3 linked regions of the Solanum lycopersicum genome follow. Each later gene encodes a partner of the first gene's protein in a complex. Links are inferred from orthologs where the notes say so. Each region holds a gene or a part of one and is shown on either strand. Other genes may lie near its edges. The genes, in order: protein TIC110, chloroplastic; protein TIC 20-v, chloroplastic; protein TIC 20-II, chloroplastic.

Region 1 (3,664 bases):
TAGGGCAGACTTGGGGGGAAACATATGAGGGTAGAATCGGGCTAAAAAAGAAGGGCCAAAATTTGAATTTCCAAATGGAAATCTATCCAGAGCAAAAGCATATTCCCAATGATTCTTGCAATTTCAACAGATTGAAGGCGAGATTGAGGGGTAAGATCAACCCATCGTCCTTCGAATGCTACGTGGCTCGATCTTGAGGCCACAAGGACGAATTTGCAGCTGGAATCGGCGCTGGAACTGTACTAAGCGTACTGTATGTTGAGGGAAAGGAAGAAGATGACAAGAAAATAATACTGGGTACCGTTGTACGCGTCTGTCGATTGACACCATGTAATCCCCGTCTGTTGGCTGTGAAGACGTTAATAATTCGCTGTCTTGCTACCGTGTACTATTCCGTTTGGCTTGACGCCTTATAGTTGGTGCTTTCGATGGGATTAGAAGGGAAAAGGGAATTGGGTTGGGTCAAAAGGAGTGGGCTGGGATTTCTGGGTTTTGAAATTGATAACATGGGGGTGAGGATTTAGAAAGGATGAGAATTGTTGTTGGAAAAGGGGAATAAATGAATAGGGTCATTTTGAGTATTGGGCTGCAAAATAAAGGCCCTAAAGAGTGACAAAGCTATATTAAATAACTTGAAAAATATTTTGAATTTTACAAAGTTGGTTATTTCAAATAGTTTGGAATTTAAGAAAATCGAAAGTCAATTCCTATCATGGAGGGTCAAAATTAGGTGTCAACAAACGCAACATAACATCTAGGTGACATTCCTTTCTAAGAGTAGCCCTTGACCATCTCACGTGCAGTCAGTACATTATCTAAGATGTTTCTACCCTGGATGAAAGCTGACAAAGGACTAACAATATAGTCCACTACAGTTTTTAGTTTTGGCAGTCAGTATCTTGGCTATAAGCTTATACAGGGTAGTGCAACAATCTATTGGCATTTACTACATATGATGGTGCAGTTACCTTAGGCACAAGTGTGACTGTGGTTGTGTTTACACCTTTTAACTATTTACAATTTTCAAAGAACCGTTTCCTCCCCCTTATTATTTCTCAGAAGTTTTTTAAAATTCTGCAATATAACCATCAATACATGGGCTCTTGTTCACTGGCTTGTCCTTCAAGGCTTTCACCACATCCTGAGTAATCACGGGTTGCAGTAGCTGTTGTTGTTGTTCAACTGTAAGGCAGGGGTCATCTCGAGCTGTGCATGAGTATACAAGGCATGGTTGATGCATCTGGCCCCAACAAAGTTTGAAAGAACGGGAGAAACTCCTGTTGTATCTGTTCTGGATCAGTCAGCTTAGTCCCCTGTTCTGTGTAAATAGAGGATATTTTGTTCGTTGCTCGCCTAGCTTTCAGGTGGACAGATAAGTACTTGTAGTTCCTTCTGCATTAATACCCTTTCGTAAAGACTTCCCCATTTCTCAAAGGTCTGCACTGGTTTCCTCTCTCCATTGATCAAGTCTTGGTTGAGGAGGTGTGTTGCCATTTCAACCTGCCCCTCCTCCATTTCCTCCTGCACTTTCTGGAGTCTTTGCCTCAATTGGATCAATTTCTTTTCTTTTGTCGAAAATTTCCTGGCCTACCTGAAGATGGAGTAAGCTGAAGATCCGTCATATCTGGGCTAATCACTTCTTCCCAGTACTTCAGCCTACCTCTGCCTTTCCTCGTCCCCACTATATCCAACCTCACACATCTCCTCACTGAGGCACTTGTACATCTCCTCTTCACATGCCCAAACCATCTCAGCTTCCCTTCCCTCATCCCACACACCCATCTCAACATTCTCATTTTCGCCACTTGCATTTTCTGTACATGAGAGTTCGACTAGCCAACACTTTCCCCTTACAATAACGCCAGTCTGACCACTACTCTATAGAACTTTTACCTTTAAGTTTCAGTGGTACATTCTTATCGCACAAGACAACGGACGCAAGCCTCCTCTGCATCTATATTCCACCGATACGATGTGTGACATCATCGTTGATATCCCCATTTCCTTGGATCAGAGACCCAAGATACTTAAATCTCTGTTTGGGACAACTTGCATATCAAGTCTCACTTTTATGGCTGCCTCATGCGTCACATCACCCTTTGAACTATTGTGATCTTAAACATGCCATATCATTCCTAAAAATGGAGTGTCATTAAGGGTATAACTGTAATATTGAAATTTAGAACTTATGAAATATAGAAGCAATTTTCTTTTTCATATAGACTAAAAAAAAGAGTAAAACATGTATAAATGAAACAGAGAAATTAACTGATGTGGAGTAATTCAACCTTGTGGAATCTTGGTTTCTGGGTGAAGGCTGGTATAACTACAGATAACAATATCTGGTAATGCGATAATAGAATTCGTTGAATAGCTGCAAGCAGATCAGTTTATGTTCTTCTAAGGCTCTTTGCTTGCAAACCAGTCTATGTTCTTCATTATCACATTAAGGATTACCTTTAGCTTGTTTGGGGGAACAGATTTCTTATTGATGATGAGATGGTTTGTGGGTCTGTTTGGTCTTTAGACCGATACACTCGTAAGGTTTGATCATATGAATCCTTTCCTTTTTAATGAATATGCTCAATTGTTTTGCTTCCTAATGAGTTTTCACTTATGTTACATGCCATGGAATCATCCAGATGCTATAGTATTCTCTTGCATCTTTTCTCGAGGCCATTTGATTTGTTATTCTGTTTATCTTTAGTTATATCCTCTTAACCACAACTTTTCTTCCTCTTTTAGCTTGCTGCTTTGAACCAATTGAGAAATATATTTGGTTTGGGGAAACGAGAAGCAGATACAATCACATTGGATGTAACCTCAAAGGTATACCGTAAACGACTAGCTCAAGCTGTTACCAGTGGTGAATTAGAAGCGTTCGAAAGCAAAGCAGCCTATCTTCAAAACCTTTGTGAAGAATTAATTTTTGATCCACAAAAGGCTCTTGAGATTCATCAAGGTAATACGTGATGACAATGTGATTCGTTTTCTAATGTATTTTGAGTGACATTTCATACTTAATTGTTTTATCTGGAGAGGGAAGACATGGAAGTAGTCGAGTTTTCAGTTGCACACGAGGGAGTGCTAACAAGAACCTGTTGAGAATATCTGCTTGTTTTAGTTGGTTCCTCAGAGAGGAACAATACAAGTGAGGTTTTCAAGTACAAAATAACGACTCCAAATTTTGTTTTCTTCTGTATTACTAAAACCTCATCCTCTAGCAGTTCTTGAAATTTGAGGTTTTTTCGTTTTAAGCGTAGTTGCATAGAGTTGTTAGTTGCTCTCCTTTTGATAAACCCAGCAATTAGCTTTGCCATGAAGCTGGAGTGACAATAGGAGTGTTGTTTATAGCACCTTCAATGTCATCAGTTTGCTTATTGGCTAATAGTAATTTGATTTTATAATTGAACTTCCTAAAGCTAGTTCTGTTGGGTTGAGCTCCCTGAGGTCTCAGATTCAGTTGCCAGCAGAGACAAAACGTAAGGTGATTTTTCCATCTGTTCTAGCTTTGGTGGACAGAGTTACTTGGTAGCCATTGCTGGTGGGAGGTGTCTAGTATCCATAGAGTTAGTCGAGGTGCGCGCACACTGCTGCGGACACACCAGTTATCAAAAATAATAATAGTGTTTTCTTTGGAGTGTTGCAAGTGAGGATGCAAAGC
Region 2 (3,039 bases), on another chromosome or scaffold:
TAGGGGTGAAGCAATATATAGATAGCTCAGAATTGAACAGTAAAGACAATAGGAATGAATTGGATCCAGAATTTGTTAAGAGTGTTGATTTACCAAGTAGAAGAAAAAGTAAAAAGGTAAGATTTGATCCTGATTGTGTTGTAGCAATTTTTGAGCTTGGTATGGTATTTGAAAGTGTATACATAATTTTGTTCATTTCTTACTCTACTATATAAAGTCTCATTTTAAGATATTTCTATGCAGCTGGTACTTCAGGAGAAAAAATTATCAATTTGAGAGTTTATAAGGATGCAGCTCCAACAAATATTGATATTGGTTATAAGCCTCGAGGACTCAAGTGGAATGGTGGAGATGCTGTCACTGGTTCACAGTTGAAACAAATCACTTATTCAAGAAAAAACAAGCGTGGAACATCTAGTGCACCAAAGAATGCCTAATTTATGTAGAAAAATCACTTTTTGGTTGTGTAATTAGCAGCAGAAATTTGTATTGACTGCTTGAAACTTGAAGCTCACTAGAGCAAATTAATGGCATGAATGATCAATTTTTACTGCTTTTGAGGCATAAATTATCTACACTCCTTCAATTAAATCATTACAATAAAAACACAAGGCATTTACAATAGAAAAATCGATCAAAATTGTCCACAAAGAACTCTACAATCTACCATACATACTTTTATGAAGGAATCTAATTGAAGACAAATGAACCAACTAAGATCATTTTGTTACACAAATCCAAGTAGCCAATATCATCCCTACGATAATGCATATCATCCATATTTTTCTTGATCGATTCCTCTCCAATTCATATGTTTTGACTATTTTCGACAAACCCCATATCACCCTCCTAGCTTGAGCAGGCATTTCATCATCATACCATCGAAAATATCCACATCCACCTCGTGCCTACAAAATTAAAGAAAAAAATTGAATTATAAATAAGGTGATTCTTTACTATATTGGACAAAAAAAAGTGAATTTGATTTACCTTTGAAGTTTTGCAACAAAGGAATATACGTCCAGGATTGGATTGCGTCCATGAGATCTTCATTTTCACAACGTTCCCATATTGACATAGTACTTTCGCAGTTAAAGAAGAAGAAATCGATGAAGTAGATAAATTTGACATTGAAACTTGATGATTAAAAAGAAATCAATGAAAAAGAGATATAATATAATGAGCTAAAGAGGAGAAATAATGATGAAGAGAAACAAAAGAGGAGAAATAAGGGAAGAATGGGAGAAATTAGGATTAAAAGGGGGAAGAAAATCGTTGGTGGATGGTTCAAGATCCACATCAGCGCTTTTAAAGCGTCTGCACACGCTTAAAGGACGTGAGATCACGTTTGGCTCCACATTAGCCAAGAATATTTAAAAAGATCAAATTATAGGGGGTTAAAAGATTCAATAGGAATCTAGATTAGTTGAGGTAACTGGGAAAAACACGAACAACTTTAAAGACTTGCGTATGTATTTGACCCGTAGACATTTTTCCTCCAAAATGGATATGGAATTATGGATATTCAAATGGTATCAATGTAGCCCGACCCGCAATTCCATCAGGATTTTCAATTGACTGCTGACCTAATCCAATTTCCCCTTTTTCATTCTTTCTCCCCCCCAAAACAAATATCTTTGGCCATCCTCAACAATGGCCATCACCAATCTTTTATCCACCACCATTACACTCAAACACTCGCCATTTCTTCTACTGAAACCCTCAACAAAACTCAGAAACCCTAAAAGGCCAACAATTCGAGCTCAATCTAAGAACGACGACTCAGTAGATGGTCCAGATCGTTTAATCTCCGCCATAACTTACTTCTACCCTTTCTTTGATGGTGTTCAGTACGGTAAATATGTAATCACACAGTTTGCTCCAATACAAACACTTATTCAACCTTTAGTACCAGCTATAAGGGTTTTTAAGAGCTTTCCGCTTAACGGGTTGTTGGTTTTCTTTACACTCTACTTTATTGTTGTAAGAAATCCTAATTTTAGTAGATATGTCAGGTTCAACACTATGCAAGCTATTGTTCTTGATGTGCTTCTCATTTTTCCTGATTTGTTGGAGAGGAGTTTCAATCCAAGTGATGGGTTTGGGTTGGATTTGATGATGAGCTTTGATAGTACTGTGTTTTTGTTTCTTTTGGTATCTTTGGTTTATGGTACTTCGTCTTGCTTGTTGGGTCAGCTACCTAGATTGCCTATTGTTGCTGAAGCTGCTGATAGGCAAGTGCTATGAACTCGTAATTTTACTTGTTTATGAGGTTTCATCCTCTTTGTACACTTAATTATGTTTTGCTTTAGCTGACAATTAATATCTATTTCGTTCCGAAAGTAAATGTTTATGCTCTTTAGAGCCTTGTTCATGCATATCATTTTGCTGTTTCTTAATGTGGATATGTATATTCTTGTAATGGCATTTCGGTTTCTTTAATCAAGTAACTACTTTTTTTCTATGTATCTGCATTAACAAAAATATATAGAGGTATTTCTTTTTTATAACCGTAATGTCCTGGCGTACACCTCAACTATTTCATGGAATATCTTAACTGGAATTGTTCCAAGTGACTCTGCCCACTACAACTTAGGCAAATAGAAGATCTTATTGCCTCTGCATAGATTTGCACTTTCGTGTTGTGTAGTTTCGTTCCAGCTTCATGGACTTTGATGGCTTGCCATTGAGTGCCACAAAGGTGGTGATATTATCTACAAGTTCTGTCATTTTTTGATATGAAGATAGTTCAATCCCTATTTCTAGGTAACATGTTAGTTACATCACCATTCTTTTTTTTGGTTTTTGGATGAGGTAACATGTTACATCATCGGTATGTTGGTGTTTAAGGAAGAAATTCATGATCCTAGTAGCCAGTTGTATCATGATTTTAAGTAAGGGTCTCGTTTTGTATTATCTTGAAAAGGGCAAGTATGCAGAGATACACGGAAGTTAGGTATCAGGTTTTGATGTTATTCTTTGAGACAATTCGGATAATGTCCTCCACCCCAACCTAGAGCTTTCGCTAATTACAGAGAC
Region 3 (2,642 bases), on another chromosome or scaffold:
TATGTTGATATATCTTTTTTCAAATTATTGACCTACATTATGGCAATATAGTGTAAGCTAGTCCTGACTACAGTTTTGTATACTGCCACCCAAATGTTTTCATGTGAGAATAGTCACTTCAAGTTGCATTGTAGTAGATTTGGAATTTCCACAGTGTTGTTTTTGCTCTCATTTTGTGACGACATGCTTCAAACTTTCTTCGCAAGGTACGGGCAAGGTTGTGTATACACCATCCTCCTCAAAATCTTATTTTTGTCTCATAAATAATGAGCTACTCGGAATAATGTAGCGATGGTCCCTTTCTCTTTGACATGAACTTAGTGAAACTGAGTTCTCTGCAAAGATGCGGTGTAGCGAATGTAGGGTTGTTCAAAATTGATCGGAACCGATATTCCGTATCGAAAAAAAGTTATTGGTTTAGCGGTTTTGAGAACGGCTTTGATTTTTTTTTTGTTATCGGGTTATCTTTTGAGGTTATCTCTTAACTGGATAACTGATAATCCGATGGTTAATTAAATAATTATATTCATATCATTTTGCTTATAAAGTCCTTAATTTAGAGTTTGGTTTCCTACTTTTGTTTCTGATTGTCTCAAACACTTGGTTATTCTACGATGTAAAAGTGTTTGCTTTTGAGCAAGATGAAACTTGTGAATTCATGTGCATGGTTAAATTGGTTTGCCACCTTGTTCTAAAGTGATTTTCAATGTGTTTTTTTGTCAAACTTAACGGTTAAATAAATTATCGAACCGAACGATCAATAACTGATAAGCTAATCTTAATGGTTCTACAACCGTTTAGCATATCTACAAATCGATAACTAATAAGTCAAATCGATAAACTTCAAAGCCGAAGTGTTCGATATGTAGCCCTAACTGAACGGATAGACGATAAGACCCTATGTACCTCAACTATAACTTAAATGTGTACGATAAGTTAGAGATGGCAACACACAACAATCAATTGATTAATCCTGAACTTCACAACAACTTTAATCGAATGTACAGATGAGAGGTGGCAACACATAACATAACAACCAACTGACAAAGAACTTCACACAATCTTAATTGAACCTATATGATATTTGAGAGGTGGCGACGCACAACGAGCTATATTGAAAATTACTCGTTGATCAATCAATAATCCGTTGTAGTCTAGTTGGTTAGGATACTCGGCTCTCACCCGAGAGACCCGGGTTCAAGTCCCGGCAACGGAAATTATTTTTTTTCTAATTTTTTAATCAAAATAATGCATTACAACTTGTACCTCAAACAACAAAAATCCATCTTTATAAACACCCAAAAAAAACCTCACATTTCCCCTAAAAATGGCTTCCATTCCTCTTCTCCGTTTCACTCCCACTACTACCCCTCGTCTTCTCCCCCACCCTCTCAGCCTCAATTTACTCCAAACCCGTATTCAAACCCGAACCCGTATCCATACCAAACCCACCACTTCCATCTCCGCCTCTTACAACCCAATCCCCGCCACCGACCGCCTTATCTCCGCCGTCGCTTACTTTCTCCCCTTCTTCAACGGCCTTCAATACGGCCGTTTCCTCTTCGCTCAATACCCAACCCTAGCTCTTCCATTTCAACCAATTCTCCCTCTTCTATCACTCTACCGGTCCCTCCCATACGCTAGCTTTGTCACTTTCTTTGCACTCTACTTAGGTATTGTTCGGAACGAGAATCTGAACAAGTACCCCCGGTTCAACGCCCTGCAAGCGGTGGTGCTCGACGTTCTACTGGTGCTTCCGATGTTGATTCAGAGGATATTTTCACCGGGTCAATCGGGTATTGGGCTGAAATTTACGGTTTGGATGCATAATGGGCTTTTTGTGTTTGTTGTGGGCTGTTTTATTTATGGGCTTGTTTCTTCTATACTTGGAAAAACTCCTTATTTGCCTTTTGTTACTGAAGCTGCTAATAGGCAAATGTAGTTCTTTTTAAAATTTATTTAATATGTTGTTTTGTGGTTTTCTCTAATGAAAGGAAGGTTTTTGTTGCATAGAATTGTAATTTTAATGTATGATATTTTAAATCGAATCGTCGATGAGATGTTTCTCCATGAGAGATGCAATGGAAAGGGCTCGTAAAGTTCAAATCTTGATAAAGTAACTTCTTGGGATAAATAATAATATCTTGATTTTGTAATGGAATCATTACACGTTATACTTCACACCGAACAACTCGTAAATGTACTAGTAATAATGGGTTTTCAATAATACATTGTTTCTTTATCAGCTATCAAACGATCTCTAAGGAATATCAATGGCTTTTGTTGAATAGAGAATATAATTCCTTTGCTTATATCAACACTTTTCAAGGTTTGGTCTACATGCATATCATACATTGTCCTCCTCAGATCCCACTTGTGGGATTACGCTGACTATGTTGTTTCTGTTGTCGTAAGTTACATTGTTAAAGGGTTGAACTTCAACAAAGAATAATAAAACTACATTTTGTTCATCATGCAAGGCCAAAACCAGAATACTATCATTGACCAGAAAAACGATAGGGCTTCATAACCTGAAAACCATCTCAATGTAACCATAGGATCATTCATTCTTCTGGTGAAGCAAATTAGGGAGCTCTAATTGAACGACTCTTGCAAGTGTAAAACCTTTAATCGCGCCAAAT

The links.
Region 2: protein TIC110, chloroplastic (region 1) and protein TIC 20-v, chloroplastic share a complex: the UniProt entries of both Arabidopsis thaliana proteins name them as parts of the tic complex. The link is inferred for Solanum lycopersicum from reciprocal best matches to the Arabidopsis thaliana genes TIC110 and Tic20-V.
Region 3: protein TIC110, chloroplastic (region 1) and protein TIC 20-II, chloroplastic share a complex: the UniProt entries of both Arabidopsis thaliana proteins name them as parts of the tic complex. The link is inferred for Solanum lycopersicum from reciprocal best matches to the Arabidopsis thaliana genes TIC110 and Tic20-II.

The regions. Positions count from the first base shown.
Region 1 is NC_090808.1:26,796,440-26,800,103, forward strand, and holds part of protein TIC110, chloroplastic, read left to right. Parts: intron 1-2,745; coding exon 2,746-2,962; intron 2,963-3,664. UniProt on the Arabidopsis thaliana protein: Involved in protein precursor import into chloroplasts. Forms a voltage-dependent cation-selective channel at the inner envelope of chloroplasts, which specifically responds to a transit peptide.
Region 2 is NC_090811.1:6,212,288-6,215,326, forward strand, and holds protein TIC 20-v, chloroplastic, read left to right. Parts: upstream 1-1,577; 5' UTR 1,578-1,653; coding exon 1,654-2,247; 3' UTR 2,248-2,464; downstream 2,465-3,039. UniProt on the Arabidopsis thaliana protein: May be involved in protein precursor import into chloroplasts. Not redundant with TIC20-I, TIC20-II or TIC20-IV.
Region 3 is NC_090810.1:3,715,756-3,718,397, reverse strand, and holds protein TIC 20-II, chloroplastic, read left to right. Parts: upstream 1-1,290; 5' UTR 1,291-1,327; coding exon 1,328-1,942; 3' UTR 1,943-2,015; downstream 2,016-2,642. UniProt on the Arabidopsis thaliana protein: May be involved in protein precursor import into chloroplasts. Not redundant with TIC20-I, TIC20-IV or TIC20-V.